Elephas maximus indicus: one gene and its partners. The protein of the gene in region 4 interacts with the protein of the main gene of each other region in a pairwise test. Links are inferred from orthologs where the notes say so. Each region holds a gene or a part of one and is shown on either strand. Other genes may lie near its edges. The genes, in order: LAMTOR5, RGS2, PPFIA4 and GIT1.

What was found.
Region 1: the proteins of GIT1 (region 4) and LAMTOR5 interact in a two-hybrid assay, tested with the Homo sapiens proteins (2 studies listed by BioGRID and IntAct). The link is inferred for Elephas maximus indicus from reciprocal best matches to the Homo sapiens genes GIT1 and LAMTOR5.
Region 2: the proteins of GIT1 (region 4) and RGS2 interact in a two-hybrid assay, tested with the Homo sapiens proteins (2 studies listed by BioGRID and IntAct). The link is inferred for Elephas maximus indicus from reciprocal best matches to the Homo sapiens genes GIT1 and RGS2.
Region 3: the proteins of GIT1 (region 4) and PPFIA4 interact in a two-hybrid assay, tested with the Homo sapiens proteins (2 studies listed by BioGRID). The link is inferred for Elephas maximus indicus from reciprocal best matches to the Homo sapiens genes GIT1 and PPFIA4.

The regions. Positions count from the first base shown.
Region 1 is NC_064821.1:170,892,015-170,899,108, reverse strand, and holds the start of LAMTOR5 (ragulator complex protein LAMTOR5), read right to left. Parts: upstream 3,018-7,094; 5' UTR 2,944-3,017; coding exon 2,909-2,943; intron 1,379-2,908; coding exon 1,317-1,378; intron 1-1,316. UniProt on the Homo sapiens protein: As part of the Ragulator complex it is involved in amino acid sensing and activation of mTORC1, a signaling complex promoting cell growth in response to growth factors, energy levels, and amino acids.
Region 2 is NC_064842.1:58,196,113-58,203,129, reverse strand, and holds the start of RGS2 (regulator of G-protein signaling 2), read right to left. Parts: upstream 3,015-7,017; 5' UTR 2,972-3,014; coding exon 2,856-2,971; intron 1,815-2,855; coding exon 1,713-1,814; intron 1,611-1,712; coding exon 1,549-1,610; intron 998-1,548; coding exon 831-997; intron 543-830; coding exon 348-542; 3' UTR 1-347. UniProt on the Homo sapiens protein: Regulates G protein-coupled receptor signaling cascades. Inhibits signal transduction by increasing the GTPase activity of G protein alpha subunits, thereby driving them into their inactive GDP-bound form.
Region 3 is NC_064836.1:11,907,122-11,914,983, reverse strand, and holds the start of PPFIA4 (liprin-alpha-4), read right to left. Parts: upstream 3,018-7,862; 5' UTR 2,873-3,017; intron 1-2,872. Other genes in the region: TMEM183A (transmembrane protein 183A), read right to left, coding at 6,154-6,339, 7,801-7,862. UniProt on the Homo sapiens protein: May regulate the disassembly of focal adhesions. May localize receptor-like tyrosine phosphatases type 2A at specific sites on the plasma membrane, possibly regulating their interaction with the extracellular environment and their association with substrates.
Region 4 is NC_064837.1:22,374,789-22,381,899, reverse strand, and holds the start of GIT1 (ARF GTPase-activating protein GIT1), read right to left. Parts: upstream 3,007-7,111; 5' UTR 2,798-3,006; coding exon 2,746-2,797; intron 1-2,745. Other genes in the region: ANKRD13B (ankyrin repeat domain-containing protein 13B), read left to right, coding at 6,927-7,040. UniProt on the Homo sapiens protein: GTPase-activating protein for ADP ribosylation factor family members, including ARF1.

The DNA of each region.
Region 1 (7,094 bases), on a different chromosome or scaffold from region 4:
GGCGGATTTGAGCTGCCAGCCTTTGGGTTAGCAGCCATAGCACTTAACCACTATGTCACCAGGGTTTCTGGCACATGGCATACATTCAATAAACAGTAATTGTCATTATCTGGGTTCCTTCTAGACCCAAATTAAAACTATTCAAATACTATTTTAGGAGAGACAAACCTATTCTTTTTTTTAAATTGTGCTTTAGGTGACAGTTTATAGCTCAAGTTAGTTTCTCATACAAAAATCTATACACAGATTGTTATATGACCCCAGTTGCTATCCCTATAACGTGACAGCACACTCCTCCTTTTCACCCTGGATTGCCCATGTCCATTCAACCAGCTCCTATCCCTTTCTGCCTTCTCATCTTGCCTCCAGACAGGAGCTGCCCATATAAAAAAAAACTTGTGTATCTACTTGAACTAAGAAACACACTCTTCTCAAGTATCATTTTATATTTTATAGTCCAGTCTTATTTTTGTCTGAAGAGCTGGCTTCGGGAATGGTTTTAGTTCTGGGTTAACAGAGAGTCCAGGGGCCATGTTTTCTGGGGTTCCTCCAGTCTCAGTCAGACCATTACGTCTGGTCTTTTTACTGGAATTTGAGTTCTGCACCCCACTATTCTCCTACTTTGCCAGGGACTCTCTGTTGTGTTCCCTGTCAGGGCGGTCATTGCTGGTAGCCATGTATCATCTAATTCTTCTGGTCTCAGGCTGATAGAGTCTCTGGTTTATGTGGCCCGTTCTGTCTCTTGGGCTAATATTTTCCTTGTGTCTTCAGTGTTCTTCATTCTCCTTTGGTCCAGGTAGGTTGGGACCAATTGATGCATCTTAGATGGCCACTCGCTAGCTTTCAAGACCCCAAGTGCCACTCACTGAAGTGGGATACAGAACATTTTAATAAACTTTCTTATGACAATTGACCTAGATGTCCCCTGAAACCATGGTCCCCAGACTCCTGCCCCTGCTACTGTGCCCCCGGAAGTGTTTGGTTGTGTTCAGAAAACCTTACCTTTTGATTTAGTCCAATTGTGCTGACTTCCCCTGTATTATGTGTTGTCCTTCCCTTAACCTAAAATAATTCTTGAGTAGAGACAAGTATTTAATGGCAGAACTTCAAGGACCAATTTTACTTTCATAAATACCAATTAAAAAATTTCAACTTTCTAATCTTGTGATTTGGAGATTATCTTTACTCTCACCAAACTACCCAGAAAAGGTAAGAAACAAAACAAGAAATAAATGCTACAGAATAATAGCACACTAGGCTCCAAGTCAACATCAAATGCTTTGCAATTCACCAAAGGGTTGGTGTGAGATACTTACAACCCAGATTAAGTCCTTGTGAATCTGTGCACAGGACTCCAACAATGGACGGGTTCTTCATTCTAGTTCCAGAATCACAGGAAGGATGAAACATATGATGTGAGAACATGAATTTAAATAACTAATTTAAGACATACAGGCTTCCTATGTGCCAGGCACTGTTGTAAGTGCTTAAAATTGGTGTTTCTCAACTTAAGAAGAAAAATTATTATCCAGCCCTCACAACCCTACCTCAAGGAGAAAAATTAGGTTAAATTAAAATGAATTATGAGGCACTGGTGGTTCACTGGTGGAATTCTCATATCCCATGTAGGAGACCCAGGTTCAACTCCCAGCCCATGCACCTCGAGGGCAGTCACCAGCTGTCTGTCAGCAGAGACTTGCATGTTGCTGTGATGCTGAACAGGTTTCAGCAGAGCGTCCAGACTAAGATGGACTAGTAAGAAAAGTCTGGCGATCTATTTCTGAAAATCTGCCAGTGAAACCCTATGGAACGCAATGGAACCAATCAGCAACTGATTATGGGGATGGTGTAGGACCACACGGCAGTTTTGTTCCTTCATGCATGGGGTCCGCCTGCAGCTAACAACAACCAAAAAAAAAAAAAAAAGCCAAACTCATTGCCGTTGAGTGGATTCTGTGACTCATAAAAATTAAAAATTAATTTAAATGAACTTCTCTGTAATGAAAGTTTTTTTTCACTCCTGTTAAAAAGGCATGCTTTAATACATTAATTCATCTAAAACAACTGTTGAAAAACTATTATGTTTTAAATAACAAGGTCTAAGCAACCATGTTAACATGGGTTGCCTCCTGGAGAGGAAGTGGGAAGCTGCGGAACATTGATGGGTGGAACATGTTTATAAGCTTTCTTATGCCTTTCCATTTGAAGCTCCCATACACACAGCAGTTATCCTCTAGTGGACTGACTCATGGCGACCGTATGTGGGCCAGAGTAGAACTGTGCTCCACACGGTTTTCAATGGCTGATTTTTCAGAAGTAGATCACCAGGTCTTTCTTCCTAGGCATCGCTGGGTGGACTCGAACCTCTAACCTTTTTGTTAGCAGCCCAGCACGTTAATGTTTGCACCACCCAGGGACTCTGAATCTCACACAGATGCTACCTATTCGAAAAAATGAAGAGATGTCTCTTAGCTTCTTCAGCACAAAGTTACTGATTAGGTACGCAATCACTAGGAGACACCTGCGTGTGTCTATATTTCAGGACTCGATTTTGCTCACGTTGTACATCCTTATCAAAAGTGAAATCTATTTCCTAAAGCTCCTGTAAGAACGACCCTGGACATAGTACAATTTCAACAACATGACAGCTGATTTTGGCCTCCGGCTTGAACCCCGGAGACTCGCTCCGGGGCGGGATGTACGGCGGGGGACTGGGAAATATTAATTCCGGGTTACCAGCCCCGCCCCTAAGTCCCGGGGCAAGGTCTCACGGCCTCATCCTTTGTCCAGGGCTTCGCGCGGCTTCCCCAAAACGCCCTGATCGGCACTCGCAGCTCACGCCCTTTGTTCTACTCCAGCCGCCCTCGCCACGACTTCATAACAGGCCGAAGAGGCCCCCACTACTCACGTGTCCTCCAAGTGCTGCTCCAAGGTCGTCTCCATCCCATCCGCCGTCAGCCCCCGGCCTAGGACCTCGGAGCACGTCGCTTCCTTCTCTACTACAGGCTTTAAGCACCCCGCAGTCACATGACACAAGCTGAGCCCGGATCTGGATGGTGCCTCCAAAGGGTCAAAATTGATGGCGGCGCGTCGTCTGCGTTCTTAATCCGAAGTTGCTATTCTATTCCTGCCGTCCTGAGTGGTGACAGGCGTGGTGACCCCGGAGCGTCTCCCCTCGGGAACCGTGCGGGTCGATTTATCCTCTATCCGGGAGAGAGGTCAAGAGCCGGACCTCAGTGCCTCGGTTTCTTGGCCTTTGTCTCAGTGATTTTTAATTTTTGGATGACGGTTCGATAGACTCCGAGACCCACTAAGGACCGGATCTAGTTTAACTTTCACAGTAACCCGGCCAGTCAGTCAGGGTCTGATCTAGTCGGTGGGGCCGGTACGGGGAAGAGAGACCGCTGTGAAAAGGCCACAGGCGTGTAGGGGAAAGACATGCGCTCAAGGGACTGAAGGACGAGATGGAACCGGGGTAAAACCCCAAGCTGGGTACTGCTAAAGGGTCTGCGTTTTAATGAAGACATCAATACTTCTGATGGGAGGGCGTGGAAAAGTTTGGGAAGGAAAGTGGTATCTGAGTCCTAACTCGTGAAGAAGACTGTGAAGGGCTACTTAACAGTAACTTAAAAATTTTTAATTATAAAAGTAGTTGTAAAAAAAGAAAAGGCAAGGAAATCACCCATAGTCTCACTATTAATCCCATGAAGAATATTTTTTTCAGACGTTTGTCTTTGCAAATGCATATTTTATTTATTTCAAACAAAATTGACATACGTACTGGACATACAATTCTGTAGCTAGCCCTTTTGACTGAATTTAGCATAAATTTTTGTCATGTCAATTTGCATTCATTTACATAGTTTCTAATAGTTGTAAAATATTCCATGGTATAAACCAAACCAAACCCAGTGCCATCGAGTCAATTCCGACTCAAAGCGACCCTATAGGATAGAGTAGAACTGCCCCATAGAGTTTCCAAGGAATGCCTGGCGAATTCGAACCGCCGACCCTTTGGTTAGCAGCCATAGCACTTAATCACTAGGCCACCAGTGTTCCCATAGCTGTACCTTAATTTAATTAATGTACAGTGAGGCTGCCTATAGCTGTGGGTGTATGCGTTTTGGCTATCCTAACGCTGAGCGAGTATCCCTGTAAGCCTCTACCCACTCCTGTTCTTAACGTCCTCCTCGCTCTACTTTTCCTCCAACTATCTCATTAGAAAATGTAAGTAGTGACTACTTGAAGTTAAGCTTGTGCCAATTGAACTCAGGAAGCCCGTCTGCTTCCTGTCCAAGGCGTGCTCAGAGAAGCGCCTCTCTGCAGTACCGCCCCCTTGTGGTCCCATGCTTTGTGACAACTTAGCTGGTCTAAACCCAAAACCAAACCAAGCCCATTGCTGCTGAGTCGAGGGCTTCTCAAAACCCCTCAGAAAACCAAAACCCCTTGCCCCCTAGTGGATTCCGACTCCTAGCGACCATATAAAACAGAGCAGAACTGCCCCACAGGGTTTCTAAGAGCGGCTGGTGGATTCAAACTGCAGACCTTTTGGTTAGCATTCTTAACCACTGCACCACCAGGGTTCTAAGGGCTCTGATTTTTAAACCCCAGAGCAGTGCAGTCTAACAGAAATATAATGTGAGCCACACATGTAATCCTAAATGTTCTGGTAGCCACATTAAAGAAAGTAAAACGTGAAATTAATTTTAATAATCTATTTACTTAGTATATGCAAAATATGATCACTTAAACATGTAATTGACATAAAATATGAATATTTTTCATTATTTTTTTTGTACTAGATATGGTGTATATTTTACATTTTACATTTACAGCATATCAGTAGCCACAGGTAGGTTAGTGGCTACCATATTGGCCAGCACAGCTCCAGGGTGTCTCTGATGATCTCAGAGCCAGATGAATAATTAAAGAATTCCCAGAAAGGCTGGTGATCACTTTTAAGCTGTAGGGAAGGCCTTTGGAGGGAAAATGAGAAAGTAGGAAGAGGGACAATAGCTGGTCCATACATCCTTGCCACACTGAAGGGGGAGGACAGGGCGCTCCACACACCCTCCTCTGCCCTGCTGCTCTTCTGCTCCTGAGCAGGTAGACAGAGAAAACAGAACAGCTGACATAAGCTGGGGAGGAGGTATCTGACCCCTAATTGTTTTCTACCTTTTTTTTTTTTGGCTTGTGGGATATTTGATGATTCTTTATTCTCAGTTTTGAGTGCTGGTAATCATTTCTGGGGTGACAGGAAAAGTCCCATGACACCTTGTTATGAATTTGAGATACTTACTTAAAACGGAGTTACATGGGCACTGGATGATAAGTCTTGGTTCAACAAGAGACCACACAGAGGAACTAAAAATAACAAGCTTAGTACTCACAGGTCTTGGGGGGAAGGACACATAGGGTGGTTGTGTCAGGGGCAGAGGGAGAGCAGGAACCTGGGGTTCAGGCCTTTATTAGGGCCTGAGGGTGGGGTACATTAAGGTTTCTGAGCTTCTGTTGGATTGGTCAGGTTGAAGCAAAAGAGTGGAGTCTTGGGGAGGCTGGTGGGGATCTGATCTAAAAGGGAGCAGGAGGGGAGTTGTGGGGAGTTGTTGGTCACACGGGCTGCTGGGGAAGCCATATCAGGAGCTGGCATGAAAGGGCAGAGTAAGTCAGCCAGCTTGTTGTTCTATGCTGGACACGATGGATGCCAGGGCAGCAACTGAAATGGAGTGTTAGCAAAACTCATGACAGCCCACCCTGTGATGCCTCAGCATCGGGTATTAAAATTACATTTATAACTTGAGTGGCCGAAATACTGAAAGACATTAGTATAGCTTTTTATAGCCATTGTAGGGTGCACGTAATCAGAGCAATGAGCAGGATAAATAGGCTTGCAATAATCTGGAAGCCAGTTTGTAGCCATTGGCCCCATGTAGATGGGGAAAGCCATGAAAACAGGTTTGAAACCATGGAAAGTAAGGATTTGTTGGAATATTTTTGTTGTATTGTGCATAACCTTACTATGTTGAGATATTCCCTTGAGTAGTGTGGCCACTTGCCCTGTGTTATTGATGTACATACAGCACAAAGTGCCTTGAGTGGAACACACTCCTACTTGACTGGCCAGTAGGTAATCTAGGGCTAGTCAGTTATTAATCATTTCTGAGCCAGGGAGTTATGCCCTTGCATGGTCAGTCCTAGTATTTTGGGTTTTTTTTTTTTTTCCATGTATGCCATTGGAGTTTGGGACATTTCTTGATTAGCTTTGATAATTAGTGATTTGGTTGCTAAAGCAGCTACTCCAGTAGCTGTTCGCACTACTCCTAGGATGATGACCATTCTGACAATGATAGGTACAAATATAAGCCAAAACCAAACCCACTGTCATCAAGTCAATAACCGACTCATTGCAACCCTGTAGGACAGAGTAGAACCACCCCATAGAGTTTCCAAGGAGTGCCTGGTGCATTCAAACTGCCAACCTTTTGGTTAGCAGCCTTTGCTCTTAACCACTATGCCACCAGGGTTTCCAGTACAAATATAGCTCATCTATAAACCCCTTGCTGTTGAGTCAATTCCGGCTCATAGAAACCCGATAGGACAGAGTGGAACTGCCCCACAGGGTTTCCAAGGAGTGGCTGGTGGATTTGAACTGCCAATCTTTGGGCTAGCAGCTGAACGTTTAACCACTGCCCCACCAGCTCACCTATGGCAGGGCTCATATGTTGGGGGGTAGCCCCAAGGTATGGGAAAACTTGAATAGGAAGGCCAAGGGTCATTGGTGTACAGTGTACCAGGTGCATGTAACTGGGGAAAGACAAGCTGAAATATAATAGTGCCTCTCCTCTGATGTTGGGGCCACAATAGATTGCCAAGGTGATGTTAGCCAAGGCATACTATTCTTTAGCTTGTACCCAGATATAATCAAGGCAGAGGTTTGGGAGGATGGCTGTTGTGGGCCAGATGACGTTTTTGGAGGGACAGATGTGGACGGACAACATAACAGTTCGTGTGGAAATTTCAAAGTCCTGCAACACCTTGATTTTGCCAGGATAGGTGCAGTTGTAATTGAGGGGAACTGAGTGGAACAGACTTAA
Region 2 (7,017 bases), on a different chromosome or scaffold from region 4:
CCCAGATCTACTGATTTTAAATGCTTCTGGACCAATAACATTACGTTGTTATCTTCCATCTCACATTCCTGCTTCTCCAGCATGAGACACACCATGTCCAGACCATGATTCCTTCCCTGTGTCCTCTACACAGTGATGGAAGCCATCCTGATACAAGCTTCTCCTAGACTGTCACTGGCTTTCTGAGTCACTATCCAACTTTGAATCAATAATTATTATGAGTGATAGTTCCTGAACACCCAGGCTGAATTCAAGGTCAGTCTTTTGTTTTCTTGGCAGGTCACAGCCTTTCTCCTTAGGGGGGAAAGAAAAGAAATATTCTCCTTTCATGGGCTCCTTTTTTCATCTCATGTAGCATGGGGCACTGTGGTGATCTGTGGCTTTTTACACAAGTCCTGGTAGAATTCTGACTCCAAGAAGCGGGGATAAGCGTTGTTCTCCATCAAGCTGTATACTCTTTTCTGTGCAGTTGTAAAGCAACCACTTGTAGCCTCTTGTATATTTTGGGCAATTAGAGTTTTGGTTTGAAAGTCTATGTTTATCTGAAATAAAACAGAAAAATATTTTACTGAGTATTGGTAAGTACAGAGATTGAAATCTATTTAATACATGAAAACAAAAACAAAAAATTAGCTTTTTTAAAAATTAGCTTCACCAAGCAGTCACTGGAAAAACTCCATTGAAAGACAGAATGGGGTTGGGCTGGGTGGGAGGATCCTCTTACCACCCCTCACCCACTCTTTTAATTTGGAGTCTCTTCAACTCTTATTTCACTTTGGTGCTAAGGATGTTCAAAAATGTACTGAGATGAATTTTTTTTTTTTCTTTACCTCTTTTGGAGCTTCCTTTTCTATGAAGTCAGTATATATTTTCCTTGCTTTTGAGGACAGCTTTTGGGGTGACTTGGTTTTTTTGAAATCTTCACAGGCCAGCCAGAATTCAATATTTTCTTCACAGAATTCAGATTTTAAAAAAGCCCTGAATGCAGCAAGACCATCTGAAAGAAAAAAGGGCATGCAGATGTGATATTTTTCCTAGTGCGTACCCGCACTGTAATTATTTCTAAATGATGGTAATTTTCTAGATTTCACTCGTACCTACAATCCTCAGAATTTCCCTCTTTAAAATTTAAAAGCTAAGATGCCAGTAGGCAAGCTGCTTAAATTGGCACACTGGTAAAAAAAAAAAAAATATGCAAACTTAATTTTGCTGTCAATACAAAATAAGTATTTAGAGGGAAGCCATAAATTCTCTGGGAACTAAGCCTTTTGAAAACACTGCAATGGAAAAGCTGACTTAATCTTTGCTAATAGCAACTGTCACTTTAATTTTTTTAGGCTAATTTTTCTTCTCCACCTGGAGTGAATAATATATGCATTTCCATGGTTAAACACTGGAAAATAAGGGACAGAAAAATAGGTCTTATGCTATAGTGACTATAATTTAAGTCCCATTCCCCTCAGGCCAGCTGCTCTTCTGTTGGGTGGACCTAACCTTAGTGAACTCCTGAACCACCTGAAATGGATCAAACTCAAGAGTGTAACTTACATTTACTGGCTAGCAGCTCATCAAACGCTTCTGACCACAGCTGTGCTTCCTCAGGAGATGGCCTGCAAGAGAGGTTCTGTAGATTAGCTTATGTGCACCAGAACTTCCCTTTTTGGTCCAGCAGCTAGCAGCTCCTATTACCAAGTACAGGGTTTTCAACTTACTTGATAAAAGTTTGCTGTTTGCTTTTCTTGCTGGTTTTGGGCTTCCCAGGAGTGGAGGAATTTTGTAAGAAGTAGCTCAAACGGGCCTTCCAATCTTTTAACCTTAAAAAAAAAAAAAAAAGGCCATTTACTAAGTGGCAATGCTTGAAAATGCAGCTACTGCAGCCGAATGCATTTTTTTTTTCCAAATAAAGTCTCCCAGGAGCTACAGACAAACCAAATAAAATCAAACAGGAACTCTCCAAGTGAGACAAGTCTCACCCTTTTAATGTAATGTACTGAATACACAATTAGCTTCATTCATTTACGTGAGAGTAACTAGCAGTTTTATAACTATCGGCAAGACTATCTAAAACCACTCAAGTATTTAAACGAATTAAATTTGTGTTGTTCCAAAGGCAGCAGGTTTCTCTACAAGGCGAATTACAACTACGGTTGTTTCACGCTTGATGAAATCGCCTCCGGCTGGGGATGTTCATTTTCCTCGACGGCACTGGGTTTCACCGTGAAAGCAGGAGGCTCTGGACAACGCCAGAGGCTGCACACAGTGAGGTGCGTGTGACTATCTCCACGCCCCTCCACCCCCCAACGACGACGCTCATTTTGAGCAAATGCTGCAGAGCAATAATCTGTTCCGCAGTCTCAATGAGTGAGATCTACTCTTCTACTAAAAACAAGACTGGATTTCTATTCAGAACCAGCACACACAGCTTCAGCCCTGCAGCTGTGTAAGCTGATCAGAACTCAATGCAACGCACGACTGCAGGGGACATGCTTCAGCCGCAGGATTCTCTGATGGCATTTTAAATGCAGGGGAACAAAAAGTCAACCCGCAATATCTTAGCGCATCTACCGCCGTCCCCAGACACCACATGTAGAATATTCCTCAGTTCCTAAACTCTAACGGATCGTCCTTCGGTCACGTAACAAAATAAAACTCTACCCCCGCCAAAAAAATACCAAAAAACATATTTAACCTTAATTTGCCAGATTAACCTTTTCCACCCTTTTCCCGCCTGTGGAGACCCGAACTACCCAGTTTCCTGCAGCCGAGGCCGAGACCGAGCCCACCGCGTTTGCAGCAGACCGGGGGAGCTAGCTCCGCAGGGGCAAGGGCGGGAGGCTGGAGAAGACCGTACTCACAGGGTTAGCTTCATCTTCTCCCGCTTTTCCTCGCTCTTGGCGCCACTGCCTGCGCTCTTGTCCACTGGACCACAGTACTCGTGCTGGACAGCCAGGAACATGGAACCTCGCATCATCCTCTCCCCACACCGGCAGCGGCTGCTGGCTGGCGGGGGCGCCGCGGCCTTTATAGGAGGCCAGGACCCGATGGGGAGGGCCGCCCGCACCAGCCCCGCCCCGGAGGGCGAGGACTGGCCGTGTACGGGGCCCGGGGGCGGTGCGAGCGCGGTCACGGCCGCCCACGAAGGGTCTCGGGAGCCAGGGCGCAGCCGATGCTGGCGTTGCCCGGCCGAGCGCGCGCTCGGGCCGCAACGCGACCCGGACCTTTCCCGGGAGCCGTTGCCGGCGACCTGTGCCCAGGCGCGGGGCCGGCCGGATGGGCTCTGCCGCCTCCGGCGAGGGCGGGGGGCCGAATTAGCCGCAGGCCCGGCGCGGCGCGCCTTCTCCCCGCACCCACCCTGACGTGCCCCTGGATCCCCGAGAGGGGCGATGTTTCCCCATCAGGAAAAGGTGCTTTGCTGCAAACTCGAGTGCAATCGCCTTATTTCCAGTTAACATGGATTGGCCATCCCCCTGCCCGCGCCTCGTTTCTGGCTTACAGTCCTGGTCCTGCTGTACCGACTCGCCCGAGACCCTTGGTCTGTAAAGTAAACCGGGGCCGCCCGGAGACCCTCGCTCGGTCCTCTCCTGCGATTCTGCTTCAGCCGGGGGAGGAAACGGTGACAGCCCCGGGGCAGGTGTGCTGGCTGGGGTTTGGGCATCTTGGAATACTTAGGGGAACGAACATTCGTCAGGTGAGGAACAGGAGAAAATGACTCTTTCAGAAGACAGCGTTTTAACTGGGTTTACTTTGTGATCTTCACCTCTAGACTTGTGGCTTGGCCTATAGGGTCCGTCCTCAGGATTTCCTGGCTTCTTCTCCATCCACAACAGAAATCACAGATCTCGCCATTGTGTATGTGCGTGAGAGAGGAAGGAGAGGGAAAACGCCACACTTAGCAGATGGAATGTACTGGAATCATTCTAGTTTAAGAACGTGGGAATGGATGATTTCTTCGTGAGTCATCCTTAGTTGGTTTAGAGTTTACCAGAATACTTAACTGGCAAAAAGTAGCAGAAAAGTTAACACTTTGCTTAAATAAGTTGTTGATTTTCCAGAAATCATCTGTCCCCTCCTGCAAGCTTTCAAGTGACTTGATGGGTGAGGACAAACATTACTTTAGCTACAAAATGATTTGATTTTAGAGAACAGCATTGCCAGAACCTAACAGTGGAATATTCAAATGGTTTCCCCATCAAACCTCTAATTAGACAGTAAGCTTTACAGCAAGATATTGATTGGGTTGCAAATATTCTCCCTATTTTACACTAACCATTAAAAAGCCAATAAACCAAACCCGTTGCTGTTGAAGCAATTCCGACGCAGGCCTGTAACACTGGGACTAGTTACCATGTTTTTATGCTGAGCTGCCAGTAGTTGGAGCTCCAGCTTTGACTTGGAGAGGAAAATCTGCAATTACTACTGAAGAGAACAGTCATGTACTTTATTATGGAAACAAGTAATTTAGATTTCAGTAAAAAAAAAAAAAAAAAGACTTTAAAATATGTTTGTGAAATGTAAGACTAATTTCGCTCAAGCATATAGTCTTCATCTGTGCAGGAACTGCATGGTGTTTGCTGTATGTTTTTTTCACTTTCTGATGAGTCAATACTTATTTATTAAATATGTACAATATGCAGGACACCTGCTTTTTCTCACTTATCATTTCGAACCTTGCATGGTGAAATTCCCATTACTATTCACTCATAGATAACTCAGGAGTTCTGAAAAAAAAGGCAGCAGGGAGAGAGAGCTGGACTTGGTGTCAGGAGACCTAATGAGAGTCTCAGCTTACACCTTGATCCCCAGTTTCTCACCAATAATGAGAATAATGTGTCTTTCTTGCCAGTCTCATGGGAAATTCCTTTGTAAATTCTAAAGCACTATGGAAAAGTTTATTATTAACTTGTATGTATGTAGAAAAGGAAATGTTCAGAAGTACAGCTATTCAAGTTGAAAAAAAAATCATAGAATGATTAACTCAGAGTTAATTAGGCTATAAATGCATAACCAAAAAAACCCAAATCCATTGTTGTTGAGATGACTGTGACTCATAGTGACCCTATTGGACAGAGTAGAACTGCCCCAAAGGGTTTCCAAGGAGCAGCTGGTGGATTTGAACTGCCAACCTTTTGGTTAGCAGTGATAGCACTTAACCACTATGCCACCAGGGTTTCATACATGCATAAGTACTACTAAAACATCAGTATAATGCCTCAGAGATTTATAAAGTATCCAGCTGATAATAAATACTTAATAAATGCTCCCCGGATATAACAGAAAAATAAGTAAAATAATTAACATTTGAACTTTTCAGAGATTTCAAAGCCAGAGAAATTAAATCATCACAATATATTCATAAAAGTGAATGTATGCAAAATCCATGTGTGCAAATAGTTGTTTAAATATAGACTAACATAGGTTTTAAAAAGTGTTCAATTATTTGCGTTTTCCATAAACCCTTTTCAGATCGACAGCTTATGTTAAATGAGTGAAAATTAATTTTTTTCCCTGAAAATTAGGACTTTTAGAACTTGTTTGCTAATTCTGAATGTAAATACGGTTTATCATTTTGAATCTATGGGTAATTTTAAGGATTAATCCAATACCTATTACAGACGAAGAAATCTTTTTGTGAAAATAGTTGCCATGTTAACGTTAATGACTTTTGTAAAGACTGGCAGGCATTACTGCTGTATTTAAAGGGAAAGCTTACAGCATTGATTGACTTCCCTTTTGTGTTGTTTTGTTACAACTGGCTTTTAGGTAAACGGGATTGCTCAATATGAAGATGATACACATTTTCCATTATGTGGTGGAGGAAGAAACAATGCAATAGGCTGTAAAAATTGCACAGCAAAACCACAGGTTGAGAGTGGCTGATGGACCACACATTTTCTCTGTTGAATCTACCATGCCCTCTGCTGGAGAGGTTCTCTGAACACAGGCGGGTTCTGAGGGTGGATCTTAAACTTTCTGTAATATTTAAAAACTTTAAGTTACAGAAAGGGACAAGCAAAAAACAAAAGTTTCTAGCATTACCAAAGGGAAATATGAAAAGCAGAAGTCTCCCGTGCCATATTCCACTCTTACCCTCCTGCTCGTTGTTGTGTGCTCTCAAGTGGCTTCTGACTTGTAGCACCCCTACAGGACGGAGTAGAACTGCCCCATAGGGTTTCCTAGGCTGTAGTCTTTCCGGGAGCAGATCACTAGGTCTTTTCTCTTGCAGTGTGTCTGGTGGGTTCAAACCACCCTTTCATTTAGTGGATGAGTGCTTAACCGTTGCACCACCAGGGTTCCTTATGCTAACTATTACTAACCAAAAATCATTATTAATGATTAACTAAAAGTATTTATGCAAAATAGCTCTCAGATTCATGCTTTGAAAATTTAGGAATCCTGATATATACTTTTTTTTTTAAACACACAAAAAAATCATACCGTGGTGACGGCGCTGCGGGTATTACTCTGGGCTTTGTTTTTCTCAGTCAGTAAGATATCTTAGTTCTTGAATTTGTGAAGATTATAAACTTGTTCCTTACCTCATGAAATCTGAAGTCTGGAAAGTTAAAAAAAAAACCAAACAAACCAAAAAACAAAACACCTAGGAAACTAAACCCTGAGTGGCGAATGGTGTGATGAGTAATTGGAAAAAGTGAAAATGGTTATTACCTAGTTGTGGATCATATTTGAGGAAGTGTGACACACCTGTCCTTTTTTTCTTGTCTAATTTAGCTTTAGTTCATAATGTTTTTTACCAACTGAAGCATGAACATATGGTGATACAAGATTCTGTACCCCACCCCAACACCTCATATGCACAAAGCTTCAAAATTCATGATTAATATTTTCCTTAGAATGCAATTTGTATACCCGGAAGCTGATTAAAGAGAAAGTTTGTGTTTTTTTTGTTTTTTTTTTTTAGGAGTTAATAAGAGTTTAAACATAATACTTGACATGCATTATAAACCCAGACCTGTTGGCCATCAAGTTGATTCTGACTCATAGCGACATATAGAAAAA
Region 3 (7,862 bases), on a different chromosome or scaffold from region 4:
TGAGGAAACACAGATACACACCAAATCCTTTAAGAGCAATACAGAGTGGCTTGTGACCAGACACTCACCCCTGGCACAGCCTGGGGTCAGTGCTGAGCCTAACCTGGAGTAGGACCAACTGAATGAACCGGCGACAGTTTCTCCTCCAGCTCTCTCAGAATGGAGTGGCCCAGCCAAGGCCTTTCAGCCCCTGACTCCTGAAGGCAGGAAGCTGCACTAGAAGTGACTTCATCTGGGAGACTAGAAGACACTTGAGGGAGGTGCAGGGGCTGCAGGAGCCAAGCCTCTCAGAAAGCAGAGCAGTGAGCTAGGCAGGAGTCCTGCTTCACGCATGGCTGGTGAACGAGGGGCTTGGCGAGCAGGGGCTCCTTAGGCCCTGCCCGGCCCTGGAGTTCTGGACCATAGCGGATCACAGCGTCTTCCCCCATAGCTTCTTCCCCCCACCAGCTCTGTGTACTCTGTGTACTCTGAGTTCCCTCAGGCCCCTCCCAGGACAGGAAGTGCTGGAGGTCCCCTAAAAGCAGCCCTGCTCGGAGTATGCTGAGTACCACAGCACCTCAGAGTATTCTTTGCTCCGCCAGCCACCTATAGTGCCACACTTGTGCAAGCCAGCACCACATGCCCTCCAGAGCTAATTATAGGTCAATGAGATAGCAGGTCAGAGTGGGGGACAGATGGTGACTTCATGTGGCTGCAATACACACTTGCCCCTCCCTCCTCTGATCGCACTCCCTTCTCTCCTATTCTCCCAGCTCTGTACCTGGGACCCAGACTCTGAGGCAGCTTTCATTCCCTCAGGCCTGCCACTCCCCACCAACTCCCCCTCTCCAGTACTCGGAGCACATGCACACGCACACACCACACACAACACACACAAACATCCATGCCAGTCACCACACCTTGTTTCTATGGCAACCTATCCACCAGACCCAACACATTTGGCCTAAAGCCCCAGGGAGAGTATCCCTGGCATAAAAATGTCTCGGCTAGCTCCCCCATATCTTAAAGGCCCCTCAGCACAGCACCCAGTTCCCTGGCCCCACTGAACTTTCACCCCTGCCTCATCATCACCACAGCCTGACTCCTCATCCTCTCCCCAAGCTCCAGCCCTGCTTTCTTCCTTGGAGGACCCACAAACAATCCCTGACAACTCTTTCTAAGATTTCAGCAGTCAACTTAGAGGGTGACCCAGGAACCTGGCCACCTGCCCTGCCTGGCCCTGCCCCTCCAAGCCCTCCTGACAACCCAGCTGCCCGAGAGCAGACACGCCACACTCTGACATCATGAGACTGCTCAGCAGCACGCACTCAGACACCACTGGATGAGCTTTCCTGTCCACGCCCTCTCCCCCACGCTCTGCCATCTCCCGGAGATGGCAACTCCTCCATGCGGGGTTCCAGCGCATTCTTGGCCCCCAATAACCCTGGAGCTTAGTCAACATCGCATTCCTTTGAGATACCATTTATCCAGCCTCCTCAGGCCTCAGGACAAAACCCTTGAAAATAACCAAGGGAAAATCACTCCAACTGTCCTTTTTGCCAAAGCGCCTCCCCTGGGACTACCTGGCCAGTTAAGAGTGGTGTGAAAGGTGAGCTGGAATCCAGTTCAGACAACTGTTTGACAGCATGCAGACAGGCTCTGTCTTTCTTTTTCCAATCCAGCAGTGATGTAAAAAATTGTGTGCTGCGGGGGATGTTACACACAGGGGTACCTAATATGGGGTACCTTTCAGTTGCCCCATGCCCCTAAATTGCCTTCAGAAGACCCAGCACCTAATACTGTCTGGCATATAGCAGGTGCCCATTAAAAGTTTGCTAGATGCTAAGCAAAGTTCTAAGTGCCAGTTCCAACAACTCTACAAAGGACTGAAGGCAGTCCCTGCAACCTGGCTCCTGGAGGGGCCCCTTTAAGCCCACACCAGTTGGGGATCTCCATGCTAAGCAGGGCCTCCTCCTTAACCACCTGCTCCCCACACAGAGCAGCAAAACTGCAGCCCAACTCCTCTACCGCTCTAATGGACACTACCAGCACACCGCTCCTCAAAGATGACATCAGCACCTAGTGGCACCTTGTCCTGGATCCCTCCTCCCTCCCAAAGAAAACCACCCACACCACATCTCCAAGTCCTCCAACCCGGCCTCTCTCTTCCCACCCACCATCAAAACCGGCAGGATCCGGACCGGAAAACATCCCTGCTGCGTGGCTTAAAGTAAGCTGCCCACTCCCACTCTTCCCGTTCAGGAATCTCTCTGCCAGCCCCTTTTTCCTGTTGCGCCCACCCCCACTCCCACCAGGCCTCAGGTTGGCCACTCCTTTCACCCCACCGCTCTGGCACTGCGGAGATAGGGCATCTCTGGCAGCGTCCGAGATCGGCAGTTCCAGGAACGGAGAGCTAGAGACAGTAAACAGGGGGTGTTATGAGAAACGAGGTAATGATTAAGACCCCCGGGAGGCGCGAAGACCTCAGCCCCCAGCGTACCCAAAGGAGCGGAACCGGTTTAGGAGCTCAGAGGCGCTTTTCTCTGGCTCTCCTGGAGAGGAAAAGGAGGCGCAGTCCACCCAGTTCCCATAGGGAGACTCGCCAACTCAGCCCCCTTCCCCGAAGCTGATGGAGCTGCGGGCAAACTCCACGCCCTCCCCGCAAATCGGGCATCGCCCCCATTCTCACACCCAAGGGCACAGGGCACTGCAAAGGCCGAGGAGGGACCGCGGAGGGAGCAGTAGCGATACCTCCAAAGATGACACATCGAAGTCAAAGGGGCTGTTCCCCAAGGCGCTCAAGACAGGGACCCCTACCCAAACTATCGGGGGAGAGGGCTGGAGGTGGGAAAATGAGGCAGCCTTTCCCCAAACCCAGGCTCTGGGTGCTCACCTGCCTGTAATCACCGAAGGCCGGGCAGCGCGGCACGGCGGCAGCGGGGAGCCGCCCCCGACCGGGGGAGCCGGACACGTCCTGGAGAGCAGAGCTGGCGCCCAGCTATCTGCAGCCTCCGCCGCCGGAGCGCTCGGCCCCGAGGCCCCGCCCCTCCCACGCCATAGGCCAAGGCCCCACCCCGAGGCCACGCCTCCTGCCCCGGGCGCTTCCCGGCCCGGCACGTGACCAGAGCGCGCCTTGGACGACGCTCGCCATGTTGGTGAGGCCTTGGGCGTCCCTACAAAGTGGGGGCGAGCCAGCGTCTGACCCAGCAGGAATAGGAACCCGGACCCAGTATCCTTCCCCGTGAAGCTGCGGCCCTGGGGGCGACACACATCTCATCCCTCCTGTGGAAGTCACCCGTCCCTAATCAACCACTGGTTTGACCCTGGCCTTGTAATTGTTGCCAGTGGTTTGTCACCTTTCAAATCTGCTCTCTTGCCCGCCCATTTTTTCAGTGGAGAAGCTTGAAATTCTGATAAATTTCTGTAGTAGGCACTTCCGTGAATTGTGCTGCTTGCCTTCAGGAACCTGGCTCTTCTAACACTGTTACTATAAAACGAAGTGTTTGTCTATCATACATACATAGTATGAAGAGTCTCAAATGCCGAAATTCCTGGCTGACATATTTTGGCTAAACCTCTCCATCTTCCTGAATTATTCCTTACCCTGTCCCCTGGAGCTATTAATGCATCTTTTGCGTCTGGTTTGTGAAAATTCATCACAGTGCCTACTCAAATCCTTTAAGACTATCCAGTAAGCACTGCTAGAAGTGTGAAGATTTTTATGTGTGCAATGAGTAGCTATGTATTTATAGATGTATACACATTTTTGTATCAGCAGCAGATACTGTAATTGCAATCAGTGACACACTGAGCCTTGCTTTCATTTATTTATTTTTTTTCCTTTCCCCCAAAATATTCACCTTTTGGCTTAGTTTCCTTGCATCTTTGGAAGGAGGCAGGTAAGTCTGCATAATTCTGATTTATTTGGGGGATGAAAAGTGAGGCTAAATTTGTGTTATTTGACTTGTCTGACCCACAGAGCAAAATCTCAATATATATATAAGGAAGTGAAAATTATAAAGCCATTTTTAACCTGTAATCCAGAAGTTCCAACTCTTCTCCAGGTGGTCTGTGGTTCTCACCAAAAGGAAATCCCTGAGACATTTCACATCCTTTTTACTAATAAATGTGAATCATCCTCAGTCTAGAAAAGGTAAGTCAGCCAATGCAGAGGGAAGACTGAAGCCACAATAGCCATCATTGGTAAGACACTTCACCAAGCACTGTCGATATTGTGCTCAGAGGACGGCGAAGGCAGTAGCTAATATTTTATCTATCATCTTACCATGGAGTTTGACACAAAAACCCAGAAGTTGAGTCAGAACACAATTATTAAGTCAGATTTATTTCACTTCCTTTTTAAAGGTAACTCCTAAATGGGGGACATACAATCCACTGGGACAACTCCCTCCCGTTTCATGGATCTTCAGTTCAGGAGCTAGGGGCTCTGTGCTTCTCTCCTCCTGTCTCAAAGAGGCAACTTTGGATTGTAGACTTGCAAGGTGCTTGCTGCCCCCTTAGGTTTTTTGGTTCCTTTTTAGCATTTAAATGCCCAAATGCTGTTTTTCACCGACCCAGACTCACTTTCTGTGTGAACAGCTTTAGTACCACCCTCAGTGAGGGGTAAGCTTAGTTGTAGCTGGTGACCAGCAGCAGTATTAAGCAGATGCTTCCTAAGAATACTCTTTAAATAGCTAGGGGTAGAGAGACTGGTAAGGAAAAAACAACATCCAGATTTGGTAGTCTGGCTCACACTAACAACTACCCCCAGAAGAAGAACACCATCTTAATGCCCAGCTCACTGGTTAACTGGCGGGGGCGGCGGGGGGGGGGGGGGGGGTGCGGCGCAGGGAGAGCAAACAGCCAGGTTATCTTCTTAAAAAAGCCTCCCATGACCAGCTTCTCAGAGTGCACCACCTACAGTAAGTCCTTCGATCACCCGGAGGACATCAGCATTTCTGCAGGGACAAGAGGCCAGGCCGCTGTGGGCACACAGGACGGCAGCAGAGGCAGCACAGTGCAGTGCGGAGTGAAGGACAGTCACTAACTGCTTATGGTTCAGGAGGCTGGAGTCTACATGGGATGTGTTTTTTCAAATGCCCTTCAGCCTAATAAATGCCTTTCTAACAATTCGGTTCCTTCCTGCAGTAACTTTCCTGGTTTGTTCTACATTTTAATTAAAAAGAAACACATATTTACAAGTCTCCTTCATCAATCTTATATATACCTCTCAAGCTGATTAGGGATAAGGTATACCACAATCCCAGTTTTACATACCCTTTTACTTTTTTTAAATCTACATTGCCGCCTCCCTTTTACCACCATCTGTCACAAGAAAAATGAGACTGATCTTTTTCATTGTGGTGGAGCAAAAGGAACATATACAGACCTGGGTCAGGATCCTGGCCCTGCCATTTACCTGCTGTATGGCCTCGGGTAAGTTCACTGATTCAGTTTCCTCACCCGTAAAATAGACCAGTATCACCTACCTTGCAGGGTGGTAAGAATTATTACAGAGCTATTATGTAAAGTTCCTAGCACAATACCGAGGGCACAAAGTCACTATCATCACTACTATCAACCTCATGCAAAAAATATCTAAAATCCAAAACAGGCAAAAGGACATTTACACATAAATATCCAAAAATTATTATTAAAAAACACACACACACACACACACACACACAGAAGTCAATCTTATAAGATTCTGAAAACCCTGTCACCTACTTTATTTCTGGAGAAGGGTACAGGGAGAAGAGAAAGTATTCAATTGGATTTGAGGGGCAGCTAAACTGGAAGCAACAGCAGCAACAATTTTAGGCCTCTCAGGTTCCTCTGATCCGTAAGGGAATGCTGCCACTTCCCTGTTTAGAGAGTCAAGAATTTAATTTTCCCCTAAAGCAAGACCATCCATTTTCACTGGGATAAAAGAATAAAGAACAACAAACTCAATAGCACCAAATGGGATTTTAACGCAAAAAATAGGGCCAGGTTTCTCCTCTCAAATGCAAATTTTACATGAAGGTATGTTTATAAATCATTTTCCTCTTGACTCAACCCCTCTCCCTCCCCTAACAGAGCGTGCCACTAACCAGATATACAATCCAGCTGCCAAAGTGGAATCTGCTTTCTAATGGTCTGGCCTAGCCCAGGGCAGGCCCCAGGGAGCTGTAACTAGGCTCTCAGGGAGAACGGATACTGAGGGTGCCACCAGTCAAAGAGCCGAACGCTGTGCACTGGGTCAAGGATGACTTGCACACCCTGTTCACTGCGCAGTTTCCGACCACCGTGGACAGGAGAATCCTGGAACACCAATCTCACGCGATGGTGCCGCATGTCCGTGCTCACGTTGATAGTAAACTGAGAGGGAAAAGCAAATTAAACAACCTTGGTCTCCTATGGCTCACTCTGAAACAAGACATTCCAGACATCATTTACACTAGACAAAATTAATCTCTGGATTATAATACCAACACCTTTGAAAATATATAAAAATTTAATGTGGTTTTTATAAATTCTTCTCAGCGTCACATATTTAAAGAAAGTCCCATAAAAGGTTGAATAAACTGAGATATATCCACATAGACTATCGTTAAAGGCAATTTTTAAAAATGGAGTTAGAGCTTTAAGAGATGACTTGAATGGATTTTGATTATTATTGAGCAAGTCAAACAAGATGCATGTAAGTATGTACAACCTGATTTCATTTTTTTGGGAAAATAAACCACGAAATCCCTAAATATGCATGTCAATATACAGGTCTGTCTAGGATTATGAGTATGGAGTGCAAGGAATATGTACATATATAACTAGGTTGTTAATGTGGCTTAACCTAGAAGAAGGGACAGGGATCTACAATAAAAACTGCATGTATGACACCATCCCAGTTATGCATAATTATTTAAGAGGGTATATACATATATAACAGATACATTAGAGAACAGTACCCAAAAGGTTAACTGCACTTACAGGGTAGGGAGGTTTAAGTTACCTTTAGTATCTTTATATATTATTTAAATCCTTTGTAAGAAGTATGCATTATTTATTTTACCAGGAATAAAGTTTTTCATTGTGGAGAGGGAACCCTGTATATCACTGAACATACGCCTAAAATAGAGAAGACATATTACATGAACTCTTCAATTGCCAATCCGTTAAAATGTTTAAGAATCTGGAAAATATGCCAGAGACATACATGTTGTTTACTAATCTAATTCTTAGGTAAGCCTTGAATAGTTAGAGCATCACATAAGGGCCAAAGGTGGCCACCCTATATTTGAATATTCCATTTATGACACTATGTGCATGCCCCACGGTCCTGTCATACACTGCTCAGTATAAGCCTTGTCATCACCCCGAAAGGGACAATGTTTCCCATTCATTAACAATCACTAACGTGAAAATGCAAAAACATTCTCCTTCAGAAAAAACACTGCTATAGAGAAGGAAAGAAGGGTAAAATTTTCTCAGGTATCATTAACTTCTCCATAAATCTGTTCATAATATACAAATCTGATATCAGACTTTTTTTATGATTCTTCAAAGATTTCTTCACTGCACAAAGCTAGGAACCCTGGTGGTGCAGCAGTTAAGCAATCAGCTGCTAACCACAAGGTCTGCAGTTCGAACCCACCAGCCGCTCTGAGAGAGAACAATGGGACAGTCTGCTTCCGTAAAAATTACAGCCGTGAAAACCCTATGGGGCAGTTCTACTCTGTACTATAGAGTTGGTATGAGTTGAAATTGACTCAATGGCAATGGGTTTCTTTTTTTTTTTTATTGATGTAAGAGTTGAGGCTGACACCCTGAGTCCCCACTTACCAGGGTAAATATCATTCCCATGACAATTGGAATAAAGATGAAATTGAGGGTGGTGACCTGCA
Region 4 (7,111 bases):
GGGCATCTTCATCTCTGTGTCCAGGGCTGCCATAGTGGAAAGGTCAAGATGATTGGCCCATGGGTCAGGAGTAGGCCCCTGAGAGCCGGGCTGGGGCTGTGTGGCACAGTAGGTGGAGGAGGAGGAATGGGGAACACTTCCCAACCCCTGCCCCTCTTGCGGAGTCTCAAGGGCAGGCAGGGATGTGCCTGGCAAGAGAGCAGCCATGCCATGTTCAGCTGCTTTGCCACATATTCACGCTGGTCCCCTGTGCCCAGAACTGAAAGCAGAGGAAGGACAGGTCCTTTAGGCTGTACCTCATCTTTCACCTCCATGCCCCCTAAAATTAGCCAACCACAAAAAGACTACCACCCCACTCCCAGGCTGGACTGCAGGACTCCTATCACATTGATGAGTCTGTGACCCTGGGCGGGAAGTGCACAACCAAGGCTTGGCCCTGGGCCTGGACTCCAGATTGCCGGGTATCCTTAGCTCTTACCTGGGCTGCTATGGTACCTGGAGAATACCCTCCATGCCAGGACTAATGTTGTACAGTGGGAGTACGGGATAGTCCCAAGCAGCCAGCCCGGGTCCTGACAAGCATCCAAACACCTGGGGAGTGCCTGCTATGTGCCAGACACCATAGTAGGTGCCAAGGTGCGGTGGTAAGACTGGCAGCACTCTGCCCACCTCACCATCCTCACTTTCTCATCACCTGCCTCTTCCTGACCTATATTCTGGTTCAGGGGGAAAGGAGGTACCTGGGGCACAAATATTTCTGTCAGGGACAAGGACTGAGGACACACCAGCTTCCCACCACTCCTCCCCAGCCTACTGGGCACCCAGAGACTTCAGGCAAGTACTCAGATGCAATGGAGAAAGGACAACTGCATTGCTGACGCTGCCCTCCGTCCCTCTGCCCCAGGGTCAGGACCGCAGACTTGGAGATGGGTTGTTATTAGTTGCCACTGAGTTGGCTCCTACTCGTGGCAACGTTACGCACGGCAGAAAAAAAAGTTGCTCAGTCCTGAATCATCTCCATGATCTTTCATGTGTTTGAGCCCATTACTAAGATTATTGTGTTGATCCATCCTGTTGAGAAATTTCTGGAGATGGGAGGACCCTCAAAAACTATTTCTAGTCAAATTTCTTTGCCTTACAGCTGAAGAAACTGAGGCCCAGAGTGACGGAAGTCTAGTCAAGGGTTACAGAGTAAGCTGGAAACAAAGGCAACTCTAAAATCCAGGCTCCCCTTAAGGGTCACCACTAAGCTCCCCACAGTGCTTCTTGGTGCCCCACACTATGCCCACCCAGTAGAGATGGCAAATAGCCTGGGACAAACAAAAGACAAGCTCTCCTCTTAGCCCTTCCATCCCTCAATCTGCCCGCAGCTGGGGGGAAGGGGTTATAGTTTTCAGTCAAAAAAGGGCAATGGCACCCTACCCGATAGCTCCTCCAGGGCCCTCCAGACTATTACATTCCCCCAGAGGAGGCCTCAGGGTCATAAGCACCCACAAAGCCCTCATGCCTGTGCCCTGACAGGCATGCACCATTTCTAAACACTCTAGCTTGGTGCAACGGGAACCACCAGAACATCTGTGGGGCTCAACCTGTTGGGGTCCCACCCAAGGGGTGGCTGGAAGTTACGAGCACACAGAACATCATCTCACACCCACACCCTGAATTGTGCCTGCTGTCACCCTGGAGTTCAGAGACTCCTGAGTCTTCTCAGGAAGACAGCTCCTTTTCTAAAGAGAACGGACAAGTGTCAGGGCTTCCTTCCCCGGGCTAGCTGCTGAGCTCCAGCACAAGCACATCAGAAAGGAGCAGCTTCTGAGGTCACTGCCCCTCACTTCCTCAGGAGGCCAGGGGGGTTCACACTAGCCAGAACCCAACTCTGCTGGGAAGGGAAACACCTCAGTATACACAGCCAGGAAGCAGGCCAGGAAGCCAACCTGATTCTGGGAATTTGGCACCCCTTGCCACTGCCCCCTACCTGATCCTGGTCAGATCCTGACTAGGGGGCTGGGAGGGGTCTGTGCCCAGGCCGGGACAGTTCCAAGCCCACCTTCCCAAGTAGGCCTCACTGGTGAGCAGGAAAAGCCGAGTCCAGCTGTTTCCAGTCACCAGCAGACCTACGATGTCTCCAGGGAAGATGCCCAGGCTCGTACTGACCCTGAACACCAGGCCTTACAGGGGGCCCCAGCCTTAGGAGCCAGAGGCAGGGAGCCCTAGGAGTAACCACCCCTCATCTGTTCCTGAGGAAACAGTACCAGGGCCCCACCGCACATCAACCCAGCTCTCTGCCCCTTGCCCTCGCCACCCCGGCGGGAGCGCAGACCATGCGAGCAGCAGGTGCAAGGCGCGGGGGTGGCACTGAGATGACACAAACCACCCTCGCCCTCACCTTCGAAATCCTCCGGGCCTTCGCCACAGCCCTCCTGCCACCCCAGGCTGGAGCTTCCGTTTGGATACTGAGATGGAGGTGTGGGGGGGGGGACAGCTAGCTGCCCGCCTCCCTCAGGCTGAGGGGTGGGAGGAGGCGCCGGGAACGTCCTTCCCCGATTGTCCACGGACGCGAGGGGACAGGGGGCCCCCAGGCCGGCCCACCTGCCAAAGACGCGGCTCCGCAGTGGCCCGGGCGGGGACGAGGCCAGAGGCCGCAGCCCCCCGCCCCACCCTCCGGCCCCGCATGACGCTCCCGCCAGGCCCCGGCGCCCGCCCGGCGGCGGCCTCTGTGCGCGGTCCCGCCCCCGGTCCGCTTACCCAGTGCGCTGCAGTCCGCACACACCTCCGCTCGTGGCCCCTTCCGGGACATCCTCAGCGGCGAGGCGGCCGCAGCCCTCTGGGCCAGCGTGGGGGGCGCGGGCGGCGGGCCCGGGCGGCGGCGGTGGCCCCTGCTGCCTGGCCCGGCTCCCGCAAGGCCCCGGCTAGGCTCCGCGCGCCCGGCCAACCGTTCGCCGCTGGGGCCGGCCCGGAACCCGCGGTGCCCGCCCGCTCGCCCTCGGGCGCCCTCCGCCCCGCGCCGCCCCGCGCCGCCCCGCCGCCGCTCGCCGCTCGCTCTCTCCGCCCCCTACGCGGCTCCGGGCCGCTCCTGCAGGAAGCGGCGCAGGCCCTGCCCACCGGGGGAGGGGCAGCCCACCCCGCCCGCCCCGCCGCGCCTCCCGGAGAAAGGAAGCCGGGAGCGCGGGCGGCAGCGGGCGGGGCCGCTTAAAGGGGCCGCGGTCCCTCGGCCTCGCCTGCGGCCCCCGCATCTGCTCCGGCGGCCCCCAGGCCCAGAGGCAGTCGGTGTGAGTCAACCTCGCAGCCGCATTCCCTACGCTTTTGGGCGGAGGGTGGCCTAGGGACGGTGAGCTGGGTTAGGTTAGGGGCCAGGGAAGAGGGAAGGCCTGGAGGCCGATGCCCCCTCCCGGTCAAAGAGCTGTGGCTTGGCGTACCCGCTCCTCTCAGGTTGGGGTGAGGTGTGCGTCTTGCTGGCCCCCATGTGCCCACGCCAGTGTGCCAGTGTGTATGTGTGGTCATACTCTTGCTGAGTGCACCACCCCCTCCCCCCGCCAACAATATGGACGCCCAGGTGCAAGAGAGGTCAAGCAGTGTATCCCCCTGCCTCCGGGCTAAAAATACCTTTATCACTCCCTCCGTGCTTTCACCCGGAAAGGAATGAATTGGGATGCTTTTAAAGACCTCCCAGGAGGTGACCACTGTGCCTTGTGTGCGGAATAGCCCCTTGTCACCCGTCGTGTATACCTCCATCACAAATGCGTCTAGGGTGTGTGCGTACAACATACACGGACCGTTTCTTGTGACGGTCTTTCTTCCCATACTTGTCACCGAGACATGGCAGGCAGGCCCGAGGGGGGAGGCGGGGGACAGGGAGCCGAGGCGCAGGCCGCACGTGGGCGCAACCCCGCACTGAGCATGCTCCCCGGTACACGTGTGCCCCGCGTGCACCCAGCCCCCAGCCCTGCAGCGGCACAAGGCCAAGGCCCTCGGCTTGTGAGCAGAGGGTCGGGGGTGCGGAGGACCAAACTTGGGGACCAGATCTGCGGTGGCAAGGTTAAGGGAGGGCTTCCCCAGTGGCCGGGCGTTCTCGGTAACCAGGACGGGAAGGGAGCCTTTGAGCAGGCGTGACCGAGTTGGTCGATTTCTCCCAGCGGTGCCCGAGCAGCAGTGACTTGTGGGTGGGCAGGCTGCTTCCCTGGGGGAGACAAGTAATGCTCATGAGTCACACCACCCGAAATACACGCAAAGCTGCCTCCATCGCCTTTCGCTGCAACCCAGATTGACAAGTTTGTTTGAAATCGCGATCCACGGGTATATTTATAATCGCACCTTAAAAAAACCTTCTTGCAGGCCTCTCCTCCCCCCTGCCAGCAGCTCAGCTGCCGGGGCTTTCTGTAAGCAAAGATACCTCGCGGGGCTGGAGTGTGTCAGGAGGGGACACCACCTGCCGCCCCATGCTGCGTCGGCATGGAGGAGTCCGCGGGCTGAGTGGTCCCAGGTCAGGCGGCCGGAGGAGCTGCCTGGCCGCCTGGATCCGGCACGCAGCCCACGAGCGGGGCCCCCTGCTTCACCCCCGATCGACCCTCAGCTAAGAAATTTCATTTATTAAATGTCGAGGTGGCTCCTGGCAGCCGGGCCGCTGGGCTTTGTTTCTCTGGTGTGTGGGTGCGTTTCGAGCACGTGGCAGCCGGAGCGCGCAGGCCAGAGGGAAAGCCGGCCTCAGTTTACTGTCCACGATCGCCTAGAAAAGAGAGCCCGCTGCCCAGGGGGCGGCCCTCCCCGCCCCCCCCCCCCGGCTGATTCCCTTCCTTGGGCTCCAGGGCTCTCCAGGGAAGTAGACTGATTGACCTCGCTTCCCGCCCCATCTCCAGGTTGGCCCGGGGACCACCTGGGAGTGGCCCAGGCACCGATCCACTCTCCAAACTTTGTTTCGGAAACCCCGAGCCCCTGCACAGCCGAGTTTCTGGGATTGGGGTAAGGGAGAAAAGAGTTTCTGGATTTCCCTATGTCACCACTACCCGAAGCAGGGCAACTAAAAGAAAATGAGACACAAGGTTCTTAAAACAATTTAATGAGGAAATGTACAAGAATCCTCACAGCCACTCCTGGCCGCCCCTCCCCGCGGCCTAGCCCCCCTCCCCAGCTCTGGCCGCCGCCACGACACTCTGCTGACCCCTTGTGGCCGAGGTGGGCCGCGGCCTCTGGCGGCCGGAGACGCCAACTGGCTCCTCCCAGGCTGGAGAAGCTGCGAGGCACTGCGCTCCTCCCTCATCTCTTCCCGCCGGGGCCTGGCACCGCAGGGTGTGGAGGAGGGAGAGGAGAGCACACAAAAACCTGAGAGAGGCGCGGAGAGTTTGCAAGCATTTGCTGGCACCTCCCACACAAACACATCTTGGGTTGTTGTTGTTCAAGGTGGGGGGGGGGCTGGCGTGGAATCCCTCATTCCTGCCTTATTCTAAGGTGGGCTCAAGAAGGCACCGTGCCTGGTCCTGCCACCTGTCACAGTCGGCCTGGTTGGCGGAGGGAGGCGCCGTTTTGAGGGCAGTTACTATCCTTAGCTCACCCAAGGAGGTAGTATCCAGAGGCTCATTTTAGAGGTGAGTGGCCTCGTAAACTCAGAAATATTAAGCAATTTGAGTTAGTCTGAATTAGAGCTCAGGTCTTTCTGACATCACAGCCCCGCCTCTCCCGGCCTGGGGCCGAGCCTCCAGGTCCTTCCAGCCCTGACAACAGGCAGCCCCAGAAGCCAATTCCACACTTACCACACCCTCTGCTGGGCCGGTTCTGGAAGGGCCTCTCTGCCCTGGGGTCACCCAGGGAGGAGACAGTCTCTGGAATCGGCTACTTCCTCTCCTGAGGGGACCCCATGGGGTGGGGTGGGGAGCTGCCACCTGCTGCTTTCCCTGCTCAACTCCACTCTAGTCGTAGTTGAGGACAGTGCTGGGGGGGGTGATCTCACCTGAGTGGACATTTTCTTTCCAATGTCAAGTGTGCAAGATGGAGTTGAATGTTCTAAGAAGGCAGGGAGGATTCCTAAGAAAAATCTCAGGTGCCAGACCCCTGGCTGCCCCAATGACCCTTAGTACAGATGCCCTGCACCCTTCTCGGGGATCCTGCATCAGCCGCTCTCTTCTGGGTATCTGGATTCATGCTCACAGTCCCTGGAACCCACGCTCAATCCTGAAGGCCACACACCGCCCTTCCCTCAATGTTCAAGGGAGCTCTGCAGCCCCTCCGACCCCCAACAAAGGGCAAAATCAAGTGGGTGGGGGTGCCCCCAGCCCACCTGGCGTCAGGACGCTGCTCCCGTTTCTGTCAGGCCTGGCTCCTCCCCAGCCCTTTCCTGGGAGCAGGAGGACAGTGTGGTACCCTCCCTGGTCCCCTGCCACCCCCAACTCCACAAGGCAGACTACAAGCCCCATGATGCCGCGGGGCCGGGCTACAACAAGCTCTGCCCTGGGTACCCGGGTCCCCCTCCTCTCTCCTTCGCATCCCCACATCCCTCGCCGGCCGCTGGGGCTGAGGGCCGGGCTATGCGGCTGCGAGGAGCCGGGGGCTGCGGGCGCGCGTCCCTGCGGCGGCGGCGTCCCCGGGGCCGGCGCCCCGTGCGCCCCCGCGCCCGCTGCGGGCGCCTGCTCCCTCCGCCGAGCGGCGTCTTTGTGTGCGGGGGTGTGGGAGGCGAGGCGCGAGCCCGCGCCGCGCAGCCGAGTGCCCGCTCCCTCTCCGGGCGGGTGGGGGCCTCTCCGCGCCTCCTCGCGAGGACGCCCGCCGCCCGCACCGCGCCGGGCGCGCCGCCCCCGCCCGCCGGCGCCGCTCGCACATGCCCGAGCCGCAGCCCTGCGAGCAAGCAGCGCCGGCCCCCCGCCCCGCGGCCCCGGGCCCCGGCTCCGGCGCCGTCCCTCCTCCCGGGCCGGGCGCCGCGGCCCCGGCATGAGGAGCGGGCGATGATCCCCGCCAACGCCTCCGCCAGAAAGGGGCCCGAGGGCAAGTACCCGCTGCACTACCTCGTGTGGTACAACCGCTACCGCGAGCTGGAGAAGGAGGTCCGCGCCGGCCAGGTGAGAGCGCCGTCGGGGCGCTGCGGAGACCCCGCGGCCGGGCACGCCCGCCCGGCGTGAGGAGGGGGCGC